Alligator mississippiensis: one gene and its partners. The protein of the gene in region 1 binds, or shares a complex with, the protein of each later gene. Links are inferred from orthologs where the notes say so. Each region holds a gene or a part of one and is shown in the gene's direction. Other genes may lie near its edges. The genes, in order: E3 ubiquitin-protein ligase RNF113A, RBMX2, SNRPG and RBM48.

Evidence for each region.
Region 2: E3 ubiquitin-protein ligase RNF113A (region 1) and RBMX2 share a complex: the UniProt entries of both Homo sapiens proteins name them as parts of the minor spliceosome. The link is inferred for Alligator mississippiensis from reciprocal best matches to the Homo sapiens genes RNF113A and RBMX2.
Region 3: E3 ubiquitin-protein ligase RNF113A (region 1) and SNRPG share a complex: the UniProt entries of both Homo sapiens proteins name them as parts of the minor spliceosome. The link is inferred for Alligator mississippiensis from reciprocal best matches to the Homo sapiens genes RNF113A and SNRPG.
Region 4: E3 ubiquitin-protein ligase RNF113A (region 1) and RBM48 share a complex: the UniProt entries of both Homo sapiens proteins name them as parts of the minor spliceosome. The link is inferred for Alligator mississippiensis from reciprocal best matches to the Homo sapiens genes RNF113A and RBM48.

Annotation. Positions count from the first base shown.
Region 1 is NC_081827.1:158,642,906-158,649,770, forward strand, and holds the start of E3 ubiquitin-protein ligase RNF113A, read left to right. Parts: upstream 1-3,858; 5' UTR 3,859-3,887; coding exon 3,888-3,987; intron 3,988-4,448; coding exon 4,449-4,525; intron 4,526-5,860; coding exon 5,861-5,965; intron 5,966-6,865. Other genes in the region: LIMD2 (LIM domain-containing protein 2), read right to left, coding at 3,302-3,370. UniProt on the Homo sapiens protein: Required for pre-mRNA splicing as component of the spliceosome. As a component of the minor spliceosome, involved in the splicing of U12-type introns in pre-mRNAs. E3 ubiquitin-protein ligase that catalyzes the transfer of ubiquitin onto target proteins.
Region 2 is NC_081831.1:40,215,118-40,223,055, forward strand, and holds the start of RBMX2 (RNA-binding motif protein, X-linked 2), read left to right. Parts: upstream 1-4,937; 5' UTR 4,938-4,999; coding exon 5,000-5,050; intron 5,051-5,202; coding exon 5,203-5,326; intron 5,327-7,938. UniProt on the Homo sapiens protein: Involved in pre-mRNA splicing as component of the activated spliceosome. As a component of the minor spliceosome, involved in the splicing of U12-type introns in pre-mRNAs.
Region 3 is NC_081830.1:13,249,192-13,256,395, forward strand, and holds the start of SNRPG (small nuclear ribonucleoprotein G), read left to right. Parts: upstream 1-4,204; 5' UTR 4,205-4,282; intron 4,283-4,288; exon of another isoform or gene 4,289-4,377; intron 4,378-5,059; 5' UTR 5,060-5,116; coding exon 5,117-5,148; intron 5,149-6,598; coding exon 6,599-6,621; intron 6,622-7,204. UniProt on the Homo sapiens protein: Plays a role in pre-mRNA splicing as a core component of the spliceosomal U1, U2, U4 and U5 small nuclear ribonucleoproteins (snRNPs), the building blocks of the spliceosome.
Region 4 is NC_081828.1:175,536,486-175,544,144, reverse strand, and holds the start of RBM48 (RNA-binding protein 48), read left to right. Parts: upstream 1-4,657; 5' UTR 4,658-4,772; coding exon 4,773-4,886; intron 4,887-7,301; exon of another isoform or gene 7,302-7,659. Other genes in the region: peroxisomal ATPase PEX1, read right to left, coding at 4,295-4,408. UniProt on the Homo sapiens protein: As a component of the minor spliceosome, involved in the splicing of U12-type introns in pre-mRNAs.

The DNA of each region.
Region 1 (6,865 bases):
CATTGTCCCCAAGGAACCCCTTCTCCTCAGGGGGCAAGAGAGATGCTCCCTTCCTCAGGCTCTGAGAAGGTGTCTAACACAGCTCCCCTCCCAGTCAGCAGAAAGGGGAGGGGGACAGGATCCCTCTCTCCTGTGCTTCCTCAGCTCTTGAGGAGCTGAAATAACTGCGACAATTTGGGGATCCATATGCAGCTTATGATTTTGAATTTCTACATAGCCTGTGGTCTTTTGTATTATGACCTTCTCTCCTTTTGCACTACCTCATGTTCTTGTGCTCCAATGACAGGGAGAGGTGCCTGTCTGCCTACTCATGAATAGTTTGATCCTTAAAGACTATGAGCAGCTTAATAGATCTTGCTTGGGAAAACCAAAAAAGAAATGTAATCTCAGCTAAGTCCATTGCTTCCAACTTCTCTGCAGAAGGGTGGAAATCTGAAGGAACTGAGTTGCCCTAGAAACTGGACAAAAAACCCACCCAGTGCGGTGCTAGAATCTAAAAATTCAGAGGGATTCATGGGCAGGAGAGAGGATAAAAGGGGTATGTTTCATAGCAATCAGGTCCTTCTGGAACCACCTGAAGATGAGGGAAGCTGGCTGAAATGACGGAAGAGAGGAAGAAACTCCATAATTCAAAGGAGAAGCCAGGTGCTAGATGAGGAAATTGGGACTCTGACCAAATCCCAAAGATTGCTCAGGAGCAGGGGGAAAACCCATTAGGACCATAATGCAATAATGACACCACAGAAACAGTTCCTCGCTGGGATCCTTCATAAATTTGCAAAGCAAATTCCCCCATAGTTCCCCTGGAGAGAACTGAACAAAGCATGAATTTTAAAGTAGACTTTGGAGGTGAGTACAGCCAAGTCACAGCTCGTGTTTATAAAGTGATTAGCAATCAGCACACCAAAGCACAAACAAACAAACATATTAAGATAAAAGCTGAGTTTCCTTCCTAAAACAAGATACCAAATGTAGCAGGGAGACACTGATACTTCCCCATGAAGTCAGCCACCACTCAAAACAGCTTGAAAATGTGGTGCAGGATGCCAGAAGGGCTTGCAACTACAGAAGACCTAATGAGTAAGTGATATGTCTACAGAACAAAATGAATAAGCATTCTCAAAGAATTTATGGAGGTGTTTCCTGGATTAGGATACCAAAGCAATGTACTGTGTCCCTAGATTTCCACTGTATTGCCAAAGATACATGTGGCATGTAAAGAACATCACCACTGATGGGAAGTAAAAGCTGAATGTGTTTGGACTGTAAAATTAGATACAGCTAAGCAAATACAGACTCAAATGCCTTGGTTAACTAGGTGTCACTGTAACAGCCACCTGAAAGTGAGAGAGTAGGCGAGCTTTGCATAATACACAGTGCCTTTGCAGGTGGTAACAAGTGTGAGAAGAGAGCTCAAGAAGGCCCTGGGAGAGAAGGTGAAGATTACAACAGAACTACAACACATGATGCAAAGAATCCCAGAAATCAGATAAGATTCTTGGTAGTCCCTGGTGCAAGGCTGGTGCAAAATTACCAGAAACTTAAAAAGGTATCATTCTGAGCCTCTTGCTGGTGGACAACTCATTTTTTTTAATTGAACAGTTGCAAAACATACCAAGTAACTAGCAATAACACATTACAAACTGTGGTTTGCTCACTATGGGATTTCCCATAAGAGATAAGAAAAGGGCCTAGAATTCCCAAGGGGTCATTTCAAGGATTCTCTGGGATGTATTGGTTCAAGTACATTATGTCAAGGCCTGAGCTTAAAGCCAAATAGATCAGCAGGAAAGTCGGTAAAAACAGCAAAGGACTTGAGATGACATCCTGGCTTCATCCTGGATCCTTCATTGTTTTAATGGGGCTGGGATTTTCTTTTTGACTTAAAAATAAAAAGCAGTGGATATAGAGTGGGTCAGTCCTTAACACTGTTTTAATATCACAACATGCCTCAAAATGCTTTTTGGGGCATAAGTTCAGAAACTCATGGGCAGAACATCAAAAGAAAATATCAACATCTAAGTATCCTGAGTCAAAGGCAATTAACCTGAAGGAGTTAAAATCAACATGTGCCTCGGCATCCAGAACAGAAAAAATAATGCCCAGCAGCTGAGGTCATGGGAAGTTGGACTGCAATGCTGGCTTTCAAAGAGGTGTCCTGTAACCTGCAGAGGTACAACTGGACCACCACCCAGATGGTAGGTCATAATAACCAGTTAGGGACAATCCTACAGGAGAAACAGAAAACAGCTACAAAATTAGGAGGCTGGCTCTATCCATGGTGCTTATCTGGCCCTATAATCTTCCATTTGAGCACACCACTAACACACTTATGCATGCAATCCCCTGGGAGATAAGGCAGTAATAATATCCCCATTTCTCAAAATGGAGACTGAGGCACAGAGAGGCTAAGTGACTTGCCCAAGGTCACACTGGGAGCCTGTGGCAGTGGAGGGAATTAAACCTAGCACTCCAAAGTGCCAGGGCTGCGTCCTTGCCCCTTGGCCACCCTTCCCATCCCTGGCCTCTGTTCCATGAAGACATCCAGGATGTGTGTGACATTGGGAGTTGAGAAAGGAGACACCTCCTCCACCCTCTCACTGACAGTGCAAAAAATGAGAAGCAGCAACACACCTTCCCCAGGGTGTGACAATGTCCTCTCCCCACCCCACCATCATGTGAGGGGAGAGTTTTGCAGAAGGAACCCGATGAGAAAAATGCAGTGGGTCTTTTCAGAGACCCCCTGCTGCTAGTGGCAGCAGATGCTGATGGTCATCCAGCAGGAGCCAGATCAGGGAGTCCAGGAGCAGCGTCCTTCAGCCAGGGTCTCTGCTGCCCTTCACTGTGGGTCAGCATTTCCATCTGTGCAAGACAGGGTGCAAACTGCTTTGCACTCCTCCGGCATTGGTGGAAATGACAGCACAAGGTGCAGGCAAATCAGCCCCCTTAAAGTCTCTTCTCCCAGACAGGGGATGCAGGGCAGCCCCAGCATTACGTCCCATGCCCCTGGGCAATTCAGGGCACGGGACCCACCCTCCTAGCCTCAGCATGACCCATTCCTCCACAGCAGTCCTCACAGCATCCAGTTACACTCCAGACACACACTCAGCTCTGCTACTTGTTGCTATGGCGATGAGCAAGGGGCCGACTCGACTAGTGCAGGCTGAAACAGCAGAGCCTGGACGAGCTTGAGGGAATGGAGGGGCAGGGGGATACACCCTGCTTCCCCTGACTCACGCACCTGCCTGCCTTCCCTGCCTCCTCCAGCCCCACAAACACCCTGAGCTGAGGGCCACCTTACAAGCATGCAGCTGCGGGGAGATCTCCCTGCTGCTAAGAGTCCCCGAGTCTCCATCGCTGCGATGTCCATTTCCCGGCTGCTCCTGGCACCTTATGTGGCCCCGACGCTTCTCCCCACCTCGGGGGTTTCCAGCACTAAAGTGAGAGGGTTAACGAACATTTCGGAGCTGCGGCTGAAAGTGACTGGAGCGGAGAGGTGCTTGGGCAGCTGAGAGCTGGGCGCTAAGTCCCCAAATCCTCTGCAATCAGTGGGGTTGATGGAAACAGAAATTTCCAACAGCGCTTTATCAAAAGAAAACCCTGCGGGGCTGCAGGGGACAGCGCTGTGCCACGGCCCGCTGAGGGCAGCCCCGACTCCGGCCGCAATTGGACGTCTGTCTCCCCGCAGCCTCCCAGCGGGGCCTGCCCGCGGGACCAGGCCGCACCCTGCGGGCGGGCGCCGGCTCCCCTCCTCCCACCAGGGGGCGCCCGCACCCCGCCCCGCCCTGCCTCGGGCCGCCCCTCCTCCTCGCCGCGCGGGGGCGCTGCCGCGGCGGCCGCTTCCGCCCGCTTGTCCGGCGGCCCCACTCTTCGCCCCGGCCGGGAAGATGGCAGACGAGGCTCCGGTCTGCAGCTTCGTGTTCCGGCGGCGCGGGCCGGCAGCCGGCAGGGGCCGGCGCAAGCGGCCGGGCAGCGACCAGGAGGCGGGTGAGGGGCCGCGGCCGGCACCACTCCGCCAGGGGGGGCGGGCCGTACCACTGCCAGCGCCGGGCTCTGGCTGCGGGCCCACCCCGGGAGGAGGGCGTTCGGACTGTCCCACTGCAGGCGGGGGGAGGAGGGGTTCCTAAGCTGTGCCATTATCATTGGCGGTGCGGACCATACCATCACCACCGAGCGGTGGCGCGTTCTGGGCTGTGCCCCTGCCACTGGGGAGGGGATTTTGGGCTGTACCATACTCTCTGGGGCCGTCCTCGCTTGAAGGCAGGTGGTTCTGGGACATCCCATTCTCACTGCGGGGGGGGGGGGTCTGGACTGAGCCACTGAGCGCAGGGGTGGGGACTCCAGCAGGGCTGGGAGTGGTGGCGCCTGGCCATGATGCCCCCCGAGCCTGGGACAGCAGGGCGGCCCGCTCGGGCTGGCTTGACACCTGATGGCCGCTTTGCCCACAGGGAGCAGCAGCGATGAGGGCAGCGCAGTGGTGCGCAAGGAGCGGCGCCGGGATGCCCCCAACCCCATGGTCCAGAAGGTAATGGCTGCCCGCGCCGCGGTGCAGGCACGGGGCATCTTGCCAGCTGGCCCAGCCCCACCCAGGACTGTGAAAAGCCCCAGGGAAGAGCTGGGCACCACGGCACTTGGGGGCTTTTCCCTCGTGCACAGGCGGGAGCTGACATCAGCCGGCTCACCCTGGCCCTCGCTGCGGCTGTCTGCAGCCACTGCTCCCTGCCCTCGCGTGGCTTGTCTTTTAGTCCTCAGACATCTGAGGGAGCAGAGGCCTCAGCGGGGGGTGTGCAGCTGCGCGGGTGGGGAGCCACACACAGTAGCTGCAGGCCTTGGGTGTCTCACGTGACCCCAAATGTCCCAGTCCGGCGCGGGGCAGATGCCACAGTTGCACTCGTGACAGAACTCGGTTCACGTGTGCGGGTGACGTTAGCCCCTGGATCGCTGCACTGGCTGGGGTGGGAAGTAAACAGAGGGACGCACAAGCCTTTGGCTTGGCAAGCACACCCCTTGGATCTGAAGCAAACCTGTCATTTGTTCCTGTGATGGAACAGGCGGGATGGGCCGGGGTTGAGGGTTCGGGCACTGTGACTGCATTGCCCCTTGCTCGCTGGTCTATGAACTACCTCCTACCACCAGTAGCTGATGGTGGCCTACGGCCGAGGAAGGGCACTGGGGGCTGCACAAAGGTTTTCCTCCTTTTCTTCCATGTTTCGGCCTTTCTTGTTCAGAATCGCCCTGGGCATCTTTAGGAGCCTGGGTCATTTTTCAGGCAGTGTTGGTCTACTGCAGCTTTACATCTCATGTCTCTGTGTCCTCAAGGAGGCCACCCTTCTAGCAGCTCGTCTTAGATGTAAGGGTGTCCTTATATTGGGCCAAACAGTGACGCCATTAGACATGTCATACTGCTCTGTGCCCACTTCCCTGTCCCCAAACCAGGTGCACTGTAGCCTGAACTGCTGTATTTGCAGTATCTGCGTACTCCACGAGTTGCGAGCCTGAGTTCTAGATACTATTATGCAAAGGTCTTTCACTTGAGAGAGAGGACCCATGTATGCATGTGGTGTGGAGGTGTGATCCTGGTATCTGTAACTAGAATGCTCCCCTTTCCCACTGTTGTGCTACTTGCTTCCTTTCCACAGTTTAGTGATAGTTTAGTGATTTGTGCAGAGCCTGATCCTGATGAGACCTGAGTGCCCAAAGTTTCATTAATTTGCCTCCCTGGGCTATAGTTCTGTCTGTAGCCAGCATGGAGTCAGCTCATTAGGGATGGCCTCCCCCGTGGGAGGAGGGCCTCTTGTGTCTGGGTGTTGTGTTCCATTTCCCAGTATTAAATTTTCAGTGTTTTTCTCTCCCCCTGCAGACCCAGAGAAGCGTAAAGGAGAAGACCTCATATGGGTCGAACAGCAGCAGCGATGAGGAGGCATCGCAAGGTGTCGGAGTCGCTTACAAATCAACACGATCAGCGGTGAGGAGAGTACAGTGCTTACGTTTGAAGGGGGCATGGCTGTAGGTTCAGTAGAGCCCAAAGGAGCTAGCTGGTCACCTTGTCTGCCCTCTGGCAGAGTATAAAACTGGGCATCCTCAGGAGAGCTACTGGAGACACTCTTGCCCTGAATGGGAATTTTGGTTGCTTTATCCTGGTCCCATGCCCTGGTTTTATGGCTCTGTTGAGTGCTTCTCTTGTGTGTTCGCCTCTTCGAGAGCTTTCCCAGCCTTGCAGGGCCAGAGTGTCTGATAGCCTTTAATGGAGTCATCCTTGCGATGGTCCTGTGAGGCAGGGCAGGATTTACACAAGGGAAGCTGAGGCCCTTCCAGGATGAGTGACTTGCCCAGGGTCACACAGGAGGTTGGCAATGAACCAGGAGCTTGGAGCCAGGTGACCTGAGTCGGAAGCTAGTGCCTTGCCCCTCCAGGCAACTCTTCCTGTTTGAGCCCTTCACAAGGGGGAATGGTAATTTTATTCCTGCTCTACTAATGGGGAAACTGAGGCACAGAGAGACAAAGTAACTGTCCGAGGATTGTGTAACCAGTTGGTGGAAGAATGGGAAACAGAACCTAGGCATCCTCCAGTGGCCTAATCACGCAACTGAAAACAGAGGGTGGTGGAGAGGTTACAAGTCCTTACATTAGACACAACTCTTCTCAAATGCGTAATGAAATGTATAACTTCCTGTGATGTTGGAAATCCAAGCAGCTGTATCTTGTTTCACTGCCTGGCCTTGAGTGTACCACATGACACAAAGATAGATCAATTCGATCTGGGTTAAATAACACCAGGAGGTGATTGTAAGGGCCTCTTCAGTGTCCTTATTGTTTCTGTGTTGAGGCTGGCTTCAGAATATGGTGGTAGGATGGGCTGTGGACA
Region 2 (7,938 bases), on another chromosome or scaffold:
TGGGCTTCAGGCCCCGCTTTGTGCAGGCTCTCCAGGTGCTGTACACCTCTGGAGAGTGTCTGGTCAAGCTCAACTAGACCCTGAAGGAGCCCATCCCATTCAGGAGAGGGGTGCATCAAGGCTGTCCCCTGTCAGGCTAGCTGTACACCTTAGCCCTGGAGCCCTTCCTCTTTCTCCTGCGGAAGCAGGTGCTGGGGTTGATGCTTTGGGAACCAGCTGGTCCTGTGTCAGCGCATGCTGGTGATGAGTCCTGGACCATGAGTACAAGTGACCTGGCACAGGTGGAGGCCTGCTAGGTATTGTACTCAACGGCCTCTACTGCCCAGGTCAACTGGGTCAAGAGCTTTGGCCTGATGGTGGGTGATGGGTGGCAGGTGGACTCACTCCCACCTGAGCTCCGCAGGATTGGCTGGAGCACAGGCTTGCTACTCTATTTGAGGGTCTACCTGTCCCCCACAGACCCCTCCCTGCCGGAGAACTGGCACCAGCTGGAGACAAGGGTGGTGGAGCAGCTCTGGGAATGGGCAAGGCACCTGAGATGTCTCTCCTTGTGTGGGAGAGTGCTGGTGCTGAACCAGCTGGTCCTGTCAATGCTCTGGCACTGCTTACACACCCTGCCTGTGCCTGCTGAGGTCCTGGTGGGACTCCAGAGATGGGTGCTTGAGTTCTTCTGGCTGGGACGGAACTGGGTCACTGCAGAGGTCCTGGCCAGGGCCTGGAGTTCCATCTTCAGGCCTGGCAGTGATTGCTGTACAGTGTTGGTAGCCATGTGGCATGGGGCCACCTGGGGCGTGCTTTTCTCTGCCACTTCCAGGGGCTCTGTTAAGACTGGCAGCTCCTCAGTGAGCAGGGCTTCTCCCTGCAGAACCTGCGAGGACTACCAGATTTCTACCATGACCTCCAGGCCTGGAGGCTGGTCTCCGCCTCCAGGTCCCCCGCAAGTCACCTAGGGTGCCAACCTGCTTGTTGGGGCTTCCAGAGGAGGGGCTCAGCTGGAGGTGCCAACAGCAGAGGTGCCCTAGTTGTGACGGAGGTTGATCCTGGTTGGTGTCACCCATATTGGAGACCTCCTGGACTAAAATAGGTGGGAGTGGGTGGACCCTGCTGTGCTGGCCCAGGGCATGGATCTACCCACAACATGTACAACCTGCCATCTGGTCCAGGTGAAATCTGCCCTACCTCCTGATACCCTTGCCTTTGTCAATCAGGTCCCAAGTGGCTCCCCACTCCACCACCTGAGCTGGAGGACACCAAATTGGTCCGCTTTTCCACTGTCCACCTCTATACTCTTGGGCACCACACTGTCCATCATGCTGCCCTCACACCAAGTGGTGGGACCTGCTCGGCGAGGGCGTGGCTGGGGTGTCTGTACTCCACCCTCATCCCACGAGCCACCGAGGACCCCAGCTGGCAGCTCCTCCATGGAGCTGTTGCCACAGGCGTGTATGTAGTGAGCTTCACAGACACCCATCTCCTGCCTCTTCTGCAGGCAGAGGGAGACCCTGGTGCACATGACCCTTGAATGCGCAAGGCTGCAGCCCCTCCACCTCCAGAACCTCCTCTTGAGGTTCTGGTTAAATTTCACCCCCCACCTTTTTGTTTTTGGTCACTCCATCTGTGGCCTCACCAAGTCCTGGGATCTCCTGGGCAACCTCCTCCTGACCCTGGCCAAGTGGGCCCTGTTTTTGACCAGGAAGGAAGCTCTGGCTGGCAAGGTGCCTGGAGATTGCAGGGCTGCTTTTCTGTCACTTGTCTGTGCATGTTTCCAGGCAGAGCACCAGTGGGCAGCGTCCAGCGGCTCCTTGGATGCCTTTGAAGACCAGTGAGCGTGGCCTGGGGGGCTCTGCTCAGTGTTCTCCTCCGGAGAACTTTTCACATTTTAAACCTATGACCCCCCCACGTCACTCCTACCCTTTTCTTCCTTGGTTGTCCCACCAAAAAAAAAAAAAAAAAATCAGTTGCATCTTTCAAACTTAGCCCCCACTACTGTGTGGGGCCAATTAGTTAACTAGATGGGCCCTAAGGCCCATGATCTCTGGAAGATACAAATAGACGGGAGCATCTGAGACCCAGCCAGTTGGTATCTGGGGACACTAGCCCCTTGTGCCACCTGGACTGATGAAGCAGCCCTAACCTAGAGTGGCCCCTGCACTCTCTCTACCCACTGCAGCAGTCAGGCAATGGGGACTGAGACCTGCTGCCACTTGTGACAGCATTCTGCCCCATGGCTGCATGCCTGCCAGACCAAGAGGGGGACTGCATGGCCACCTGGTCTGTGGTATGGGCACCGCAGCAGAGCCTCCTGCGCTTCTGGGCCAGCTGCCAGTGGGCTGTCTGAGCAGTGCCACCTGCAGGCCAACTGTGATCATGTCTTCTGGTGTTCCTGCTCTATCACCTGGGCAGCTATCACCCAGATGTACTCCTTGCAGTGGCCCACTTTGAACTGTCAAAGCATGCACTCCTGGCTCCAAATGACCAGGTCACCCACCTCGTCTGCCCTCCAGCTGTGTCCCTGGTGCTGACCCTGGGCAGGCTCCTCTGCCTGGGTCTCGCCACTTGTCTTACCTGCAGAAATCCTGTTCCCAGTTTAAAAATGGCAAATTCTCTGATTAAACCCCCCCAAATTCTCTCATTAAAATACCCAAATTCTGTGTTCTTCACAACTGAAATGAAATGCTAATATGTATAGAGAGATTAGTTGAGCAATATTTTATTGATATATTTACAATTATAAAGCAATTTGGAAGCCTACCAGTGCCGCTATCATTATAATTGAAATTCTAAATATCTATAAACTTTGGCATTTGCTTTTGGGTTTTTTTAATGTAGAAAAATCAGAGCTGCCTCTGCCCCCTGCATTCACCAAGATGTGGGGCACTGAGCAGCACTGATATGCCAGTGCCCTGACCCTGCCCTTGCCCCTCGCTCTTAATCCACAGCCCCCTACCCCACAGTCCCATCACTTCCTTGATCTGCAGTCCCTGCTTGCCCCCACTAGCTTCCCCATGCCATTCCTGGGAATCCCTCAACTGGGGCTCGGGGACTGGGCTAGTCAAGGCCCTTCCCTTCCAGGCTGGCCTCCCCCTGCACAGGGTGATCTAGGAGGGCAGGGGGGTGCTAAGCCTAGCTCTGGTGGCCTCTCCTACCCAGAGTGCTCCCTCACCCCTGACCCCCATATATATCTCTCTCATATACACCCATGCTGCCACCTCCACCCCTTCCCCCACAGCCCATCACACCTCCTAAGTAGTTACTGGGGCCACATGTCCTATCACTGGTGTGGGCACGAGGCAAGGCTGCAGTGTGGTAGTTGCCCCTGCAGCCATGGCTCCTGCCAGTGGATTCTGTCCCATCCTCTGTGGCCGGCTGGGTGTACAGGGTGTGAGATTTGTTGGGGGGGGGGGGGGGAAGGGGTTGTGGATGGATATGGGGCTTGTGTAGGAGTTTGGGGTATGTGGGTGAGGAGTTTGTGGGGAGACTTTGTGGGGGTGGGAGGCACTGCTTGGGAGGGGTGAGTCCCCTGCCCACTTACTGCAGGGTGCACAGTCCCAACCTGCAGCAGCCATCGGGCACTCAGGCCCAGCCCAGTGCTGTGCACCTTTGGGCAGCACCAGGCTGCTCTGGCTGTCACCTGGGGTCCTGGCACTGCATGCAGGGGCCGTACATTGTGCTGGGCTGGGCCGGGCCCTGCCTCCAAGTACCCCGTGCCCTGTCAGGCTGGGTTGGCTCCATGGAGACGGGACCTGGCCCAGCCCCTGTATGCAGTGCTGGGACCCCAGGTGAAAGACAGAGTGGCTTGATGCTGCCCGAAGGCACGTGCAGCACAGGCAGCGCTGGGTCTGAAGGGGCCAGGGCTGTGCTGCACCCGAGGGCTCTGCTAGCAGCAGGCCCTGAGCACTCAATGGCTGTGTGCCCTGTGGGAACAGGCCCACATAGTTACCTCCCCCACCACCAATCTCCCCACACCTTCCCCATCCCACCCCACATCACTACTTACCTAGGATGGCATCTGGGTCATACTGCAGCCTTGCCCTGCTCCTATTTGCCCCACCATGCTGAAGGGAAGGGGGCAGCCATAGAGACACTCTGGCTAGATGTCAGAGCCTGCTCCTGTTCCCCCCCCCCCTTTTTTTTTTTTTTTTTTTTGATCCCTGGATTCCAGGAATCACATTTAGGGCCTGTGCTGAAAAGATGCAGTATGGGGAACATTTTTTGATCCCAGCATTCCTCTCGCAGCATCTCACACTGCCTTGAGGCGCCTCAACAGGCACGTATGTGCTCACCTGGACATGACCCTAGACAGCAGTGGGCAATTATTTCAGGCAGTTTTGGTTTACTGAGTTTTGGCAAGCCATCAAGGGCCACATGACAGGTAGCCGGGGCAGATAAATATTAATTTTCTACATTTTTTTAGGGTCCCCGCGGGCCGGATAGAATGGTCTGGCGGGCTGCATTTTGCCCACCCCTGCCTCAGAGTCTTGTATGAAGCACTGGCTCGGGGTCTGAGAAACAGACTATGGCTTGTCAGTCTCCTCCCAAGAGGCAAGCACGGGCTCAGAAGCACAGCTTCAACCCGCCCTTCCCCTCCCGCTCGCCCCGTGTCTTTGAGGCCGTGGCGTGTGGCGCTGTCAGCGCAAAACCGAGCCCCTCACGACTCTTCCGCTGCTTCTGCCCTCGGGGCCTGGCGCCCCGCCTCGGCCCGGCCGGCCGGCGCCGGGCGCTGCGCTCCAGCGCGGCGGCTTCTCTCCGCCCGGCGCAGATGCTGCCCGGTCCGGCGCGGCGGGAACGGCCCCGCCTCGGCAGTCTCTAACCCCGGCCGCCTGGGCCGCGGCTCAGCCCCGCTGCGGGGTGGCCAGGGCGTGTTTTGCAGCCATCGTCTGGCCACAGCGGCGCCAGCGCCCGAGACGCGAGACCGTCCCGCGGGGCCGCCCGCGCTGCGCGAGAGCTCGGGCCAGGCAGCCCTCGCGGGAGGGAGCCCAAGGCGTGAGCAGTGCAGCGCATGTGCACGCACGTCGGCGCAGACGCAGTGACCAGCAGCAATCGACATGAAGTAAGTAATGGCTGCGGCGGCGGCGCTGGGGTGGTTGCCGGGCGGGGTAGCGGTAGGGGCCGGGGCCGGGGCCGGGCGCCGCAGGGTTCCGTGGTGAGGGCGGGCGCGGCGGGATGCGGGGCCCTGACATGGAGCCGCTCACCCTGCCGCAGCGCCCTGACCAAGGTGAAGCTGATCAACGAGCTGAACGAGCGGGAGGCGGCGCTGGGCGTGCGCGAGGCGGTGTCGTGGCATGCGGAATACAAGGACAGCGCCTGGGTCTTCGTCGGTACGAACGTGCGTGATGCGAGCGGGGGGCCGGGCCGGGCCGGGCGGCCGAGGGCTGCTTCCGGGAAGAGGGGACTGCCCGAGGTTCCCAGTGCCTGCGGGCCGCTCCCGGTGTCCATCCCCCTCGGGCTCCACCTGGCGCTGTTGCTCACCTGCGGCCTCCGCCCTTCAGAGGGGAGCAGTCTCCTGGCTTCTGCACAGCAGAGTCGACCTCAGTGCACCAGGCTCTGGGTATACAAGTCCCTTAAGCAGCTACAGCCCCAGCACCCTAACTAGCTTGTCTGTCTCCCCAATCGTAATTCATCCAGTCCTCATATTTCCTCCCTCACCAGTGTCCCCTCCCGCTGTTCTTTTCCATTTCTTTTCAGTATAAACTTTTTCTGCCAACCCATTCCTAGCATCTGACAAAGCAGGTGGTTGCCTGTGAAAATTTGTGCCTCTCTGAACCAATTAGCACAGGGAGCAGAAAGCGGAGCAGCTATTTGCCTCTGTGTTGCCTTTCCCCTCCCTGATCTATCTGTTGCCACGTACACAAGGTTCCCATGCTATTGTTTCTGGGGTGTAGATTGTAGCTGTGTTATTCTAAGGACATGGGCAGACAGAGCTGTTCCTAGTGGTGTGTGAGGCCCAGAGCATATCAGCCTGGGCGGGTGGGGGGCTGGTGAGCAGCTGGAGGCGGTGGCAGCAGAGCCAGGGGTGCTCAGCTGCATGGCGGCCGCGGAGGGGCCTGTGCGGCACTGACTCCAGGGCCCCCCAAAGCGTGGGCTCTGGGGCGGTCACCCTGATTTGACCCCGCCCCTAAGGACGACGCTGTTGGCAGACAAGGTTCTTTGGGTAAAGGTAAATCCAATATCTTTTATTACACCAACTCACATAGCTGGAAAAATTCTTCTTAGCAAGCTTTCCGGCACAAACCCCTTCACCAGGCTGAGGAAGCATCTGCAGATGGTTTGTGCTCTTCCTGGATGGAGTGGTAAAGCAGCCAGAGGTCAGTATTTATCTCAGAAAACCAGTGAGTTAAAATATAAATTGAGTTGGTCAGCAGGTGAGACAAATGGGGCGGAGGGGAAGGGGGAATGAATTCCGAACCTATACAGAAAATTCTCAAACAATTGCAACCCATACTAGAAGGAGACCTAATTCTCAAAAAGATCTCATAACCACCCATCCTATCCTTTAAACAAGCACCAAACCTTGCCATCCTCATCACCAGAAGCAAGCTTCCTATGACCCTGTTGCCTTGTGGGGTCAGGCCAACTCTCAGGATCTCAATATTGCGCTGTTAGACAGGAGGGTGTGACACAATTGCACATGTACAAACACACAAATCAATTAGGTGTGTACATACACGCACACTACCAGCTCAGGCACATACACATCCAAACCAGCCTAGGCACATGCATACCTATCACCAAGTACATATACTATACACCCCAAAAGTTAGACACAGATCACTAATTTGTATATCATGCACACAATGACATATATACACACACACACACTCGCCAGTTCATACACATACAACCCACCTACACATACAGGTAAGTTCCTAATTTGGATGGTACAGTGTATATGTGTGTGCTTGGGGTACCTGGGATACTTGGGGGAAGGTTCAGGTGAGAGAGAGAGAGAGAATTAAAGTGTAGGGAGTGAAAGTTGCCAGAACCAGGATTATAACCAGTGGACTATAGAGAAGCTGGCTGAGGAACTGAGGCTTGGGTTTACTTAAGGTAGACTGGGGCTGGAAACTGAGGCAGACACCTGAGATATTGTGGGGGGGGGGAGATAAGTGGTGGCAAGGAGGAGACAGCCAGGAAAGAAACTGAGGCAGAAACCTGGTTGCTCAGGGGAAAAGGAAAAGACAGTGGAGATAAGACAGTGGCAAAGAAACAGGGGGTTTGGAGGCAGAGAGGAGCTCAGGACAGGTGTTGGAGGTGGCAGTGAGCCAGAAGCAGGAGAGGGAGAAATGAGAGAAGTTAGAGGGGTGAGGAGCAGAGATTGGAGCAGGGCCAAACCACAGTAAAGCAAAACCCAACTCAGGGGTCCAAATAACAGGTTTATTAAACAGACAACACACTACACAGCCCCATGAAGTTATTGGTTCACACACAAGAAACTCAGTGGAAGGTTTGGAGTCCAGGTGGGGAAGAAAAGCAGGGTCCAAGTCCTTGGTTGAAGAGAGGGTGGGCATGATAGCTACCTATCCAGGCTGGAAAGGGGTCTTTGTCCAGTAGGTGTTGTCCAGAGGGGGGTTGCCGGCAGGGTGAGTGGCATGGTGCTGGTTCAAATGGAGAGGGCGTCCCAAGGAGTCAGTCTTCACTGCCCCTTTTTATGGGGCAGACTACTTCTGATCTCCTGTGGGAGGGCCTGTCCAGGCAATGCCAGTCCTGTTCCAGAGGGCTCCAGGTGTTCTTACTGAGCATGTGCAGCCTGGCACAATGGTGGGTTGCCTCATCTTTTGTTTCTTGAATGCTGAGGGTGGTTCCAAGGGCTGGGTCCTTGGTCCAGGTATTGGTGTTGATGGTTCAGTCATTCAGGGGGAGCTATTTTTAGACCCACTGCCATTGTTTCTCAAGCACCCTCATTCATCCCCATTCATTCAGGAACCAAGTTACATAGGT
Region 3 (7,204 bases), on another chromosome or scaffold:
GCCCTGGCTGCATTACTCAAGGATAAAACGGAAGTGTTGCCAGGAGATTCAGGGCATTCACAGCAGTGGAAGCCATTTACATGCTGCCGGTCAGGCTCAACACAGAATCCTGATCCCCCAGAGCAAGAAGGGCAAGGACTACCACAGAGGAGCTGGGTCTGATTCCCTGGACCAGGTTGGTGGCCTTTGGAGGCTTACAGCAGCATTAGCGGCTGCCTCTGATGCAGGGCTATGTGGGTAATTCTGAATTTGGGGATCTTACCAAAGAAGGAAAGCCAGGTGCAAAGAGATGATCACCAGCAGACAGAAAGATGAAGATGACAAAACAGGAGCATCTATTGACTGGATGCGTACTTGTGAGCATCTGGTCAGGGGAGATGCTGTTCTATTGACTTATTTTGTCCCATCCTGTGACTACCTGTGCTGAACACGACTGTCGTCTTGTCCTTTTCAAAACTGACTTGTTTTCTAAAATATGATTAAAAATAAATTTTGAGGAAACTCTGCTATTGAAAAAAGATGATCACTGCCGTGCTGTGAGATGGACTTGATTTTTGTCTTCTTTTATTAGAGAGGGAGAGGCTTTTTGTGGGCACTGTCTTTGATATGACTAATGGGCATGGTTGGGATAGTCTTTATGCCACATTCAAAAGATTATCTCAGGCTGTCTGTCCCAGCTATGCTGTTGGTCCAATAAAGCAGTGGTTCCCAACCTTTTTAAACTGTGGACCGGAAGTGACCACGGACCAGCATACTGCAGTCTGGAAGTGACTGGCATACGGTGGACCGGTAGCCCACCCTTTTTTACACTAAGTATAAAAAAGGGTTGGCTGCTGGTCTGCAGTATGCTTGTCACTTCTGGACTTTCGGTCCAGCAGCCAACCTTCATGCGGACTGGCAGCCAACCCTTTGTGGCCCAGTACTAGGCCAGGGCCTGGGGCTTGGGAACCTCTGCAATAAAGGACATCACCTACAAAAATCCTTGTTGTGTTTCCTGGGCTCCAACACGACCATTTTATTTTGTTGGCTTCCTGGTATTACTTCTTCATTCTGTATTAGAGCCCACGGGCTTCACAGGGAACACTCAAAACAACTCTTACATTCTGCTTTGGAACCAAAGAGCAACATAACTGTTATTGGTATCAGTCCTCATGTTTGTTATGAATCACAGAAAATTCAGGTTGGGAGGGACCTCAGGAGATCATCTAGTCCGTCCCCCTGCTCAAAGCAGGACCATCCCCGACTAGGTCATCCGAGCCAAGGCTTTGTCTGCCAGGGTCTTAAAAACCTCTGAGGATGGAGATTCTTACCACCTGTCTGAGTAGCCTGTTCTAGTGCTTTTACTACCCTCCCAGTGAAAATGTTTTTACTCGTATCCAACCTAAACTTCCCTGTTGCAACTTGAGACCATTGCTTCTTGTTCTGTCATCTGCCACCACTGAGAAGAGTTTATCTTGGGGGTGGGCAATTATTTGGGTCTGAGGGCCACTTAGGGAGTTTTGGTGAGCTGTTGTAGGTTGGGTAAGCACCCCGCACCCCACCTCCCTCCACACCACAGCACATCAAACCTCTCCAAGTGGATCTGCTCCACACTCAGCTGGGTGGCTGGGATGGTGCTGCAGGTGAGCAGGGAGCGGCATTCAGGAGCAGGATGGGCAGGCAGGGCTGGGATCTTGTGATGACAGTGCAGGGTTGGGGTCTGGGACAGCTGCAATCTGCTGCACACACTTCCCTGTGACAGGTGCCAGTTCTGTGGGCAGGGGAGTATGGAGAGTGCATTGCAGCTCTGCCCCAGGCCCTATACTATCACCACCCTGTGATCCTGGTCCCACCCACCCATCCAGTTCCCAGACACTGCTTCCCACCTGCCTGCAGCCCCATCCCATCTGCATGGCCACATGCCCTGCCTGAGTGGTGGCCGGCTACTGCGCTGCCCCAGCTTTTGTGTGCACCCAGGGGCGATGGGACTGGCTGCATGTTCCAAGGCCTAGCCCAGTGGTTCACAACCGTTTTTGTATCAAGACTCATTTGTAAACATCAGTGGTTAGTCCTGATCCAATGCCTCCTAGACCCAGTGTGGGGCAAGGGACCCCAAGCAGGCTGGAACTCTGCCAGCCTGAGAGGGAAAAGCCAGTTTTCCATGTATTTTCCCCACCCCGGTCTAGTCAGGGAACTTCTGGAGGGATTGGACTATAAATCAGCAGGTCCTGATGATCTCCACCCCAGAGTGCTGAGGGAATTGGCAGAGGTCATTGCAGGACTCTGGCACAGCTTTACAAGCACTCGTGGTGCTCTGGTGTGGTGCCAGAGGACTGGAAAAGGGCCAATGTGGTTCCCATTTTCAAAAATGGGAGGAAGGAGAACCCAGGGAACTATAGGCCAGTTAGTCTTACTTCGGTCCTGGGTAAGCTTTTTGGGAGAATTATCCTGGCACATGTCTGCGAGGGGCCAGCAGAGGAGATTATGCTTAGGAGCAACCAACATGGGTTTATTGGAGGCAGGTGCTGTCAGACCAACCTGGTGGCCTTCTATGACCAAGTCACAAAATCCTTAGACGCAGGTGTCACGGTGGACATAGTCTTTCTGGACTTTAGGAGGGCCTTCAACACCGCCTCTCACCCCATTGTCATTAAAAAACTAGGAGACTGTGGCATCTATACCTACAGAGTCAGATGGGTCACTAATTGGCTGGAGGGTCGCACCCAGAGAGTGGTGGTGGACGGGTCTTATTTGATCTGGAGGGATGTGGGCAGTGGGGTTCCCCAGGGCTCAGTCCTCGGGCCCGCACCATTCAACATCTTCATCAGCGACTTGGACGCGGGTGTAAAAAGCACCCTGTTCAAATTTGCAGACGACACTAAGATGTTGGGAGAAGTGGGCACGCTAGAAGGGAGGAATAGGCTGCAATCGGACCTAGACAGGTTGCAGGGGTGGGCGGATGAGAACAGGATGGGTTTCAACACTGACAAGTGCAAGGTGCTGCACCTGGGGAGGAAGAACCAGCAGCATACCTACAGGCTGGGGAACTCCCTTCTCATCAGTGCAGAGGCAGAAAAGGATCTTGGAGTCATTATTGATGCTAAAATGAACATGGGCTGACAGTGTGGGGACGCAGTCAGGGAGGCCAACCGCACCTTGTCATGCATCCACAGATGAACCTTAAGCAGGTCCAGGGAGGCGATCCTCCCACTCTGTGCGGCACTGGTCAGGCTGCAGCTGGAGTACTGCATCCAGTTCTGGGCGCCGCACTTCAGAAGGGATGTGGCCAATATGGAGAGGGTCCAGAGGAAGGCCACCTGCATGGTCAGGGGGCAGCAGGGCAGGCTCTACGAGGAGAGGCTACGGGACCTGAACCTGTTCAGCCTCCACAAGAGAAGGCTGAGGGGGGACCTGGTGGCTGTTTACAAACTAGTCAGAGGAGACCAGCAGGCACTGGGGGAGTCCCTGTTCCCCCGAGCACTCCCAGGAGTGACTAGAAATAACGGTCACAAGCTGGCAGAGGGTAGATTCAGACTAGATATCAGGAGGCGCTACTTCACTGTCAGGGTGGCTAGGACCTGGAACCAACTTCCAAGAGAAGTGGTGCTGGCTCCTACTCTGGGGGTCTTTAAGAGAACACCCTGCCAGGGTCGTTTGCCCCCAGTGCTCTTTCCTGCCACGGCAGGGGGTCGGACTTGATGATCTGCTCAGGTCCCTTCCGACCCGACCAACGATGAAACCACGCCCCGTCAGGATGTGCATTCAGCAGCATTGCAGCTACCTCGTGCTTTGAGTTTTGAATGTTCTCACGGCCTCTACTCAAGGGATTATAGGGGGGTTGTGGCCCACCCTGACAGGCCTGATTGGTACTTATTGGCTCCACTAGAGTTCCCACCCAACGTCGCGATCGGCCGCTGGCGCGGGTGTCATGCGCGAGGCAGATTTACTTCGTGATAAGAAGCAAAGTTCTTTGAGGCATTTAATCAAAACACCTCTTTTCTCACAAAATCCATTGCATCAGACTAGCAATTCTCAGCCGGGGCGCTGAGCCACCCTCTGGTGCCACCAGATCCTGTGAAGGGTGCCACAAACAAATAAGTCATGGCCAGGCTTGTCCCTGCCTGAACGACCCTACACCCCCGCTTCTCTGTGTTAGGAGCTGAACACTGTAATATCTATATTGGCCGCGGGTCAGCCGGGGGGGCGGGGCGGGGCGGGGCGGGGCCGGCGGCGGAGGGGTGTGGTTTGCATCCCCGCCCCGTCCTCCCAGGCTGCAGCGCGGCGCGGCGCCATTGGCGGTGAGGTGCGTTCCCCTTCGCCCTTTCGGCGCGAAATCCCGGCTCTCCTCACGCGGCGCTGGCGGGACCCGAGCTCAGGCACCAGCTGCAGCCTCCGGCGGTACGTGGGCGCGGATGCGGCTGCGGGCGCCGCCGCTTCCCCGCGGGCCGGGGCCGCACTGGCAATGGCAGCGTATGCTGTTCCCGGCGGGGGCCGGCACGTGGGGTTTCAGCGTTGTCCCAAGTAACGCCTCGATGTAGCCATGGGCCTTCTCTGGACATGGCGGAGCAGCCGAGATGCCTTGCTTTTCAGCTTGCCTTTAGGGGAAAGTCACAGCTCGGTTTTCAGTTCCTGTCTTACAAAGCTTTCACCTTACACTGCGCGACTTCCTGACTTATCAGAAGTGTGTGTGTGTGTGTGTGTGTGGCAGGGGTAGCATCTATGGGTGAACACCTTGATAGCTGGCTGACTTGCACACTTAAATGGTGTTTCTCAGGCTATTAATGAGATATTCCCCAAGTCAGGTTTAGCTACTGGGCCTGTCATATTTTTTCACTCCATCTCGAACAAGAAAGCTGTGGTTATTTTGCAGGAACGCACACCGTTCCTGTGGCTAACGACAAGCTACGGTTCACAGTGGACAAATGCAGTTTTCTTATGCGCTTATACATTTTTGCTGTTTCTCTTTTGTAGTTTTCACTCGATCCTGTCTGATTGCTGTTTCGAAATGCAGCGTAAAGTGCTTTATATTAGTATATAGTTTACAATGTAAATGTTTTTTTATGTTTTTTTTTTCCTTCAGTAGAGCAACCATTTCTGAGTGTGAGGCAGTTGTGGTGGCACCGAGGGAGCAGGCACCATGAGCAAAGCGCACCCGCCTGAGCTCAAGAAGTGAGTGGAGGATGGGAGCGGGGTGGAAGAGAACTCCGTATTCTTGCATCCCCCTGCATCCTGGCATGCACCTTGTTCTGGCCTGCGGCTCCTGCCCACCAAGGCTTCCCCACCCCACATGGTCCCCCAGCCCTGCTGAGCATGTGGTTCCCCTCCCATGTGGCTCTATGTACTGGGGTCCTGCTCTCCCTCCACCCCTCACCTTTCCTTTGCTAGGGGAAGCCAGGCCCCCAGTAGCTGTTGGGATAACAGCAGGGCAGCTGGGGCTTCAAGCCTCCTGGGTTCATGGTGTGGAGGGAGGGGGTAACTGGTGGCAGGGGCATGTCTGGGAGGGAGGGGGTGTCTGGTGGAATATGTTGTCTGGGGAGTGGGGTACACCAAGGGGAGGCAAAATGGCTGATTCAGCCAGCAGCTGGACTCCCATTTCCCAGCAGCTGCTGCCTGCATGGCTGGGGCCAGTCTCCATGGAGACCTCAGCTATGGTTGTGCTGTGAAATCTCCAGGCTGGGGTTGCCGTGGAGACCAGGCCCGGGCTAGTGTCAGAGCAGGGCAGGGGGCTGTTCCAGAGCCCCTGGGATTGTGCGGCAAGGGCAGCTTGCTCTGGAGCCAGGGCAGAGCCACGATCTGTAGCCTGCATACTCTGGGCAGGGGTGTGCAGGCTAGGGATCGTGGCTCTGCGCTGTCTCCAGAGCAAGCTACCACTATGGGAAGATCCCAGTGGCTGTGGGACAGCTCCCTGCCCTGCTTTGCCAGGAGCCCTGCCAGTGTGGCTGTGGCTGGTCTCCATGGAGACCGTCCCCAACCGTGCTGGGAAATGGAGTTCGCTGCTGACTGGATCTGGCCTGCGGGCCAGACTTTGCCCATCCCTGACCTAGACTGTGCAGGGAACAGGGGTCGGTTGCCTGCCCTGGGTCAGTGCCCCAAACTAGGAATGGCCTCTTGGCAGTGTGAAGAAATTGTGGCCCCTCTGGAGGGTTACAAGCCAGGGCAAAGGGGATGGAGTGAGCTCATGGGTGTCTCCTGGTCTAGCGCAGAGGGTATTGGGCTCTTCCCATGTCTTGGGCTCAGAGATGTCCCTTGTGGGGAGGGGTGAATTGGGGCAACTGCCCCGGACCCCACGCTTTGGGGGGCCCTGTGTCAACGGCTCTGTCCACATGCTGAGGGTGCAACCACTCCACACACCACCGGCTTTACGCTCCGGCCACTCGCCACCCACCCGCATACACAGGCCCTGCCCAGGCTCTGCCTGGGCTGGGTACAGAGGGCAGAAGCAGTGGCCAGTGGAGGCTCCAGAGTGAGCAGCCAAGGGACCAGCTGGGCTGTGTTGGTGCAGCCCCTGCTCGCTCCTCTGCAGCTCATGTTGGTGACACCCCTGATCTAGAGTAATTTTTTTCAGTCCAGATCTGTGAATAACGGCTGACGGCTTCTTCTCTGTTTTTTTTCATTGCAGGTTCATGGACAAAAAACTGTCATGTGAGTTATTTCTATCACTTCTGAGGTCCTGCTTTTTAGACATCTGTGTAGCAATGCTTTGCATGTTGGTTCCAGTCAGCAGCCTTCCCTGGGTGCTGTCTTCCCATGGGAGTTGCAGGGGAATGTACTGTGCTGTGAGAGAGAGCTAACAGAAGTGAGGGTCTTTGAGGATGTGGTCCTATTGCTGTATTGCTCATTGCTGTAAAAGACACAGGCAAATACAGAATAAAAAGACAGTCTCTCTCCATAGTGTTCCTAATCTAAGTGGAGGAATGAAAGGCAGTGGTGCCATAAATCTGGTCAGCATGAAAAAGGGGTGACTTGATTCCTGCATTTTGAAGAGTATCATGATTGAATTAGCAGTTCAGAGTTTGCTAATGTTGGCTGCCTTTCTGAAAATGATGCTGCATTTCAGTACATGAAGTTGTAGGGTGGCAAAATGCTTCCTGTTATTGGTGATTCTTTACTTCTACAGTGTAGTGAAGCTTTTTAATTTTTTTTCAAGCTACAATGACTTCAGCGGTATTTTGTGCTTCATTTGCAAAGCTAACATTTCCATCCAAAAAGCCATGCAACTGTCTGC
Region 4 (7,659 bases), on another chromosome or scaffold:
TGCAATGATTCAGCAAAGGGAGTTTAAGCCATTTTCAGTAGACTTCAGAAAACGTTCCTTTTGGTAAAAGTTACCAAGATTCTTGAGTCAAGAGGCTCTCTCAAAATTCTTTTTCTTACAGTTTTAAAAATGTTTTTATTTCTTCATTTCTATTCATTTAATCTTAATTTCTAGTGGTGTTTTCAAAACACTGATCTTTTAATATTATATATCAACCGAAAATGAGACAGAATGAATTAAGCATGTCCATGAAATATCTGGCTTCAATTAAGAAAAGAACATAGGCATGTCCTTCAGTCTTGCCCTACTATTGGGGATCAATGAGACTTAAACATGTACATCAAAGTGTTCTTGAATAACGATAAACTTGGTGTCTGTGACAAATTTTCCATTAGGTTCAGTAAGGGTATTCACATGAGGAAATTTGAAGGCTGTCATAAATTGACGGCTATCATAATTCCAAAGAGCAACCACATGTGATTAGAAGAAATAATGTAAAGAAAAATGTGAAACCTACATTTATGGGAATGGAGGTATCATAGGAAAGTAGTGCTAGAAGGGGCCTCACAAAGTCTCTTCCCTCAGCCCTGTGCTCAAGGTGGGATCTTCCCTGACTAAAGCAGCCCAGCCAAGTGTTGGTCTAATTGACTTTTGAAAACTTCCCAAGGATAGAGGTTCCACAATTTTTCTAGGTAGCCTGTTCCAATGCTTGACCACCCTCATAGTCAAAAAGTTCCTAAATCTCACCTGGTGAGGTCTGAATCCATTGCTCCTAGTTCTGTCCCCTACAGTCACAGAGAAAAGCCCATCTCTACCCTCTATAATAGCTCTTTAGGACAGCACAAGTACTTTCAAACTGGTATTTGAAGACTGTTATTAAATCCCGCTCTCAGTCTTCTCTTCTCCAGACTAAATACCTCTGGCCCTGTCAGCCTTTCTTTGTAAGTCTTACTTCCCAGACGGCTAATAATTTTTGGTGCTCTCTACCAGACTCTTTCCAATCTGTCCATGTCCTTCTTGAAGTGCAGAGCTCAGAACAGGATGCAGTATTCCAGGTGAGGCCTCACCAGTGCTAATTACAGCATAAAAACCACTTCCCTTGGTTTGCAAGTGACACTCCTGTTAACACAACCCAGTATGCTTTTAGGTTTTTTTGGCAACAAGAGCACGCTTTTGGCTTGTATTCAGCTTCCGGTTTACTGTAACCTTCATATCCTCTGCCATACTACAGTCCAGCCAACCATTCCACAGCCACTCATTTTCCTTGGAGGCACAATATCTTTAAAGATATCATGGAACTCAAAGACACAGTTTTAAGACTAACTTAAGCAGCTACATACTACTGCACATCCAGAGGCAGGCTTCAGTCTAAATAAATGAAACATTTGTAAAGGGTTATCAAGCTACTGATGCTAAAAACTAGGAAAGGCCCAAGTAAAACACAGAAGAGGCAGCAACTATCTGAAAAGGAAGAGAGAAAAGTACAACAATGTGTAGCCAATAAAAATTGATCTAAAGTGCCACTGTTACATCTTCTTTATGACTGCCTTGTGGCTCTGTCAATCCTGCCTCTCAACTCCAGTTTTTCTTTTACTCCCACAAGCATGCCCCCATACCAATTCCTATGCTTTCTATTCCTTGGACTGTCCAACATGATCCTTCCTGCATGTCACACAGCCTCTCAATCTTCCCTCAAACATATCCTCTTAGCCCATCTTTACTCACAGAACAATGTTTAGAACATATCAGGAAATGAGTTCTGTACCACCCAAACATTCCACAATGTCTCTTGTATATTCCTTCTTCCTAACAACCTTTTAACTTTATTTCTTTCTTCAAATTCTTTGTCTAAAAATCTGTCTGTTTAGACTTTGTTTTACGGGTGTGTGCGCGTGGGTGTGTACTGTATACTTATCATTTGTCCCGGTGAACTTATTTGGTCCATTAACTGCATTAAATAGAAATATACGTACAGTTCCTTGGGACAAAAAAATTAATCGAAAGTAGTAATCCTGGCCCATATCAGATGGCTTAACTGAAAAATGAAGCCTAGTTTTTTTTTTTTTAAATCAACCTCCTACATTCACTTTATTGTCAGATAGATTTTTTTTGTTTTATTTATCCTGTGTCTGATAGATTCCACTTTAAATGATGAAAAACATGATGCATTTTGTCCAACAAGGTTTCATTTTGCATCTCCTCTGTTATGCTTTCCTACACACAATTTGCTGGCTGGCTGAGAAAGCAAGTGACCAAAATGGTCAACTCCATTCAGGTTGGAATTGCGGGACTTAGAAAAAAGCAAAAAAACCAAACCCCCCACCATTTCCTCCTGCTATTTTCATAGAAAGTTTTCTGAACTCGTACCAGCTGGCTTGGTTCAGTTTAGAAAGGACAAAGCCAGCAGTTAGAGTTCCTGTAATACACAGCTCTACAACACAGCCCTCATCCCCTCCCACTCCTTTTACTTAGCAGTGTGAAAAAACATTTGGATTGAAATGGACCGGTTCCATTCCCATGACTGTTTTCTTCTGGACTTGGGGAATTTTGCTGAAAACAGGAAAATGTTAAGAAGATTTATTTCAAGGTTACTGATGCTGCTTTCTAGCAAAAGTGCACACACTTTTTTTTTTTTTTTTTTTTTTATATATAATCGACTCTTGAATGAGTCTCCTCGTCCCTTTAATCTTGTGAGGAAATTGAATCGCATCTTTTCCTTGAAATGTTTTCCTATTATTAATATCTGTGGGTGACACAAAGGGTTTGTCCAGACCTTGACAGTGTATGCTGCATTTTCCCTGCAACCTTCTTGTATTCTACAGGGAGGGGAAGGGGCTACATCCTACACTGAACTGGACTCTCTTCAGGTACAAGTCTCTACCTATAGCAGCAGTGCTTGGCAACATTGTCTTTAGATACAAAATTACTGTATTGGAAGCTCAAAAATTATCATATTTGCTGAAAAAAACTAACGTACACTGAAAAAATATGCAAACAAGTCTTCTTTGTATTTACTTTATATTGCTCACTGTAAATCACCAGTGAGTGACAACTGGGTCATCAAAGTTGAAGCCTTTCTTTATTTCAAGGCAAGCTGCCATAAGAAATTGCTGACAGCAAACCCAAAAGTCAGTTAAGACTAGAGTTACCATACATCTGTTTTTTTCTGGACATGTCCTCTTTTTGAGTCCTCCCATCTCTGTCTAGATGGTTTTTCTAAATATCAACAATGTCTGGGATTTGGGATTTTGCTCTGTTCAGCACTGAAGCTGTCCCTGGCACTGGGCTGCAAAGGACAGGGGAGATGCCTGCTGCTCCAGCAGTGGAAGGGAGAGGGGAAGGGGCAGCAGGGAGCTATGGGGCCAGCCAGGGTGCTGTGGGTCTGGAGTGAGGGAAAGTGGTAGGGCTGGAGGGGTGGGGGGTAAGGGGGCTGCAGGTTGAAAGTGAGAGGATCCCAGCAGGGCGGGGGATAGGGGGCTGCAGGCTGGGAGTGAGGGACATGGTGGGGGGGAGAACAAGGGACTGTGGGTCAGGACTGCAGGGAACAGACAGTGCCAGGGGACTGCGAGTCAGGAGTGAGGGGCATCAGCCGGGACAGGGTGGGGGGAGCTGTGGGTTGGGACTGAGGAACAGCAACATGGTCTGAGGGAGGGGGACTGTGGGTTGTGAGTGAGGGGCAGAACCAGGGCACAGGCATATCACTGCCCCCCCGACAGGCATCCTCTTTTTTGAAACAGGAAATATGGTAATCCTAGATAAGACTCTCTGAGAGGGGCCTGGGCTTGGCATATGCTGCATCAACTGTCTCAAAAGTGATCAGGGATGTATCAGGTAGCTATGCTGGTCTGAGACAAAAAGAAATGCAAAACTCGAGAACTCGGTTCAGAGATGACACCTTTTATTAGAACAACTAAGAAATCGCAAGAGAATGGTTGAGGTATCACCTCGGAACCAAGAGTTCTCGAGTTCTGCAGTTCAAAACTGATCGTACATGTTGAGCACTTGGACTATTACCCATCTCACATCCTACAAGGGACGAAAGTATCGTACAACTATAATAATCCTCGTCCCCCCGGCCACGACCTCCCGCCCCCGGGGGCTGGGCGGAGGCTGCGGGGCCAGATCCTGCGGCGGGGCTGGTGCCCGTGCCCCACACCCGCGGGAGCCCGGCGGGCAGTGACGTCACGAGGTGAGGGAGCGCTGCTGTCACCATGGCAGCTGGGGCGGACTGCGCGTATCCCACAATCCCTGCCGAGGTCCGCCCCCGCAGGCCGCGGATTGAGCCGACCCGTACCTGCTGCAGGCGGAGGCGGGCGGCCAACGCCGCGGGCAGGTGCAGGAAGCAGTCCCGGCTGCCGCACACGGCGACGGTCACCGCTGCGCCGCCGGGGCCGCCGCTGCCCCACATGCTGGCGGCCCCGCTCCGCTGCAGGCGGCCTGGGCCGGGCCGGGCCGGACCGAACTCTCGGGGTTGACGCTACGCGCAGCTCCCCCGTCCGCTGGTAGACGACGAAGTCCAGGTCTCTAGCAAGCCGCACCCCTCCCCGCCCGCACACATTGGTACGGCCCATCGCAGGCCAATGGGGTTGCGCCTCCCACTCGCTCCCTCTCTTTCATTGGCTCTCACTCCAGTCCGGTGATGCGGCAGGTCTCCTCCGGCCTGATGACGATTCCCCCCAGAGCCAATGAAGGGAAATCAATAGCTCCACCCTTCCCTGATTGGCTGCTGTTGGCAAGCCGCCCGGCGCAGGAGGGGAGGGTAGAGGCGGAAGATGGCGGCGGCGACGGGCGCCGAGGTCGGGGGCGCGTGCGGGCATCACGCTCAGCGGGACGTCTGCGCCTCGCGCGCCAAGTACCGCGAGGGCCGCCGGCCGCGCGCCGTGAAGGTGGGAGCGGCGGTGCGCGGGTCAACCTGGGTTGCGCATGCGCAACGCCCCATAGCGCCGCCCTTCGGGCAGCGGCGGCGACGGGCTGGGAAGGGAGAGGACGCGGGTGGATTCGCGCCACCCTTCCCCCCCCCCCAGTTTCCGGCCTGGTGCTCTCTTATTGCACTCACTGTATGGCTGGCAGGTGTTAGATGAACTTTTGGGCATGGCGCACCCTTCAGGTGATCCAGAAGTCTCTGTGTAGGAAAGCCTCTGACATTTCCAGCTATATGGTTAGTCCGATAGAAGATGTCAACCGAAAACCCATGTTACTTTTCACACCTTTCCTGGACTGTCATGGCTGCAACAAAACTCCAGCCCTATTACAAGAAAGATTTGGGACTCTTTCTTTGTCAACACCACTTTAATTGGCCAGAACAGTGACTTCTTAGGGTTGCAGTGAGCTCTACCAGGAATTGGTAGCCTTTTGCTGACAGCAACACAAATGAATGCAGCCAGGGAGTCATAACTCCTTAATTTGACCAGCCATTGCCCACTGGAGTCAGGACAGTTACCTCAACTTGCCCAAGACATGGCATGTGCTGCATGGCATGCTACTGCCTAAGCTGTTTGCGGGCAGGCTGCCTGCCAGGGCTTCTAGGAGATGCCTGCCCCTTGGCTACATGTTGCAGAAGCAGCTGGCGTGAGTTTTCTGTGTGCTTGGCTCATTCCTCCTTGGGAAATGTGGGATCAGAGGGTCTGCAGAGATCTGCTGTGTGGGAGCCCAGGGGGAGGGAAAGGAGGCGAGCAATGAGCAGGCAGCTGGTTTTTGGCAGGCCAGATAAAATCTTGCAGGCTGAATCTGGTTTGTGGACTATAGGTTGTCAACCTTTGTACAATATAAAACAGGGGTGGTCCAACCTTTTTGAATGTGGGGCCGGATCACAAACTTTTTATCACCCAGTGGGCTGGCAAGCCATATTCAAAGACCTCACAGGAAGTGGTATCACATCAGGAAGTGATATCACGTGACCTTTGACACCAATGAAGTTGCAGGAAGTGACAATGAAATAGGTTTAAATAACCAGTTCAAAACTCTCCCTCTATAGCATCCACCTCTGCCACTGTTTGGGGCAGGATATTGAGCTAGATGGACCATGGGGCTGACCACGCATGGTGCTTTTTATGCTCTTATGTTCAGAAGCTCTTATGTTCTTTGGCTGAGTTTCCAAACTATGGCTGAGATTTGCAAAAAGGGGTAGATAGGCATGTTACAAAGTTGTCATAAAAGATTTGGAGCCCTCTAAATCCCATTAATTTTAATGGAAGTTGGCCTTTTGACTCAGCTTTGAAAATCTCAGCCCAAGGTGCCAACCAAATAAGTTAAAATTTATTTTTCACTTCTATGCAGTGCGTCTATGTGGGGCTCTCCAAGCATTTTACAAACATGAAATGAACCTCAGGATGAGCCCAGCCAGAGGAGCAGGGGCTCAGCTGCACTTTCCCCCTACCTGCGCTGGTCAGTCTGGAGTGGCACATGGCTCCGCCGCCACTTCTGCTGGTTGGTGCTGACCCAGGCGGGTCTGTCCCATCTGGAGCAGCACGCAGCTGAAGCTGGCTTCCCATGTGCCACTGGGGATGGGAGGAGCCCGGCCGGGTTGGCACCAGCCAGCAGAAGTGGCTGCGGAGCTGTGTGCCGCTCGGGACTGGCAGGCGCAGGCAGGGGGGAAATGCATCTGAACCCCTGTTGCTCCAGCCGGGCTCGTCCCGTCCTGAGCGACACACGGCTCTGCCGCCGTTTCTGCTGGCCGGTGCTGTCCCAGCCGGGCTCCTCCCATCCCCAGTAGCATGTGGGAAGCTAGCTTCAGCTGCATGCTGCTTTTTCTGGCCGGTGGCTGGGTCCATCCCACCTGGAGCAGCATGCGGCTGAAGCCAGGTTCCCATGTGCTGCTGGGGATGGGAGGAGCCCGGCCGGGTCTGCACCAGCCAGCAGAAGCGGCAGCAGAGCCATGTGCCACTCGGGATGGGACGAGCTTGGCTGGAGTGGCAGGGGCTCAGCTGCATTTCCCCCTGCCTGCACCTGTCAGTCCTGAGTGGCATACGGCTCCGCTGCCGCTTCTGCTGGTTGACAAATGCCCATGTGTGCGTGCAGCTGCAGCACAGCATGCAGGCAGTGAGGAGCACAGCCCGACAGCTTGGAGAGCTGTGTGCAGCTGGTAAGTCTATTGTGGTGGAGGGCATGGCGGGCGGGACGTGTGCCCCCTGTATCAGGGTGGAACAAAGCAGGCTGCAGTTGCAGGCTAGGGCCATGGGCCGCAGGGAGGGCTGGGCTGGGCTGCACTCGGTGGATATGCAGTGGCGGCGCTGGGAGGGAGGGGTATGGGGGCTACAGAGAAATTTGGGGTGGCTGGAGCCCCCTGCCAGTGCCGCAACCTGCCTCAAGCACAGTGTGACCCAACCCCCCACCCACCAGGAGGAGCCTGGTGCAGGCCTCAGCCCACAGCTGCAGCCTGAGCTGCTCCCCTTCCCCAACCCCCCTCCGCCCCCTGACAAGCTGCAGCTCCGTCCTGTGCCCACCCTACCCTGGCTGGGCAGTACGTACCCCAGCCCCACTTCCTCCCTCACCGCGGGGGGGCATTGATCTGCCCCCACATGCCCCTTCCGCCTGTCCCCTCCCCATCTGGATGCAGCTGTATCGGAAATCGGATCGGTATCGGCTGACATACCTCCTTAAAAATTGGCTATAGGTATCAGCCCCCAAAATCTTTATCAGTGCACCTCTAAAAAAATTGTC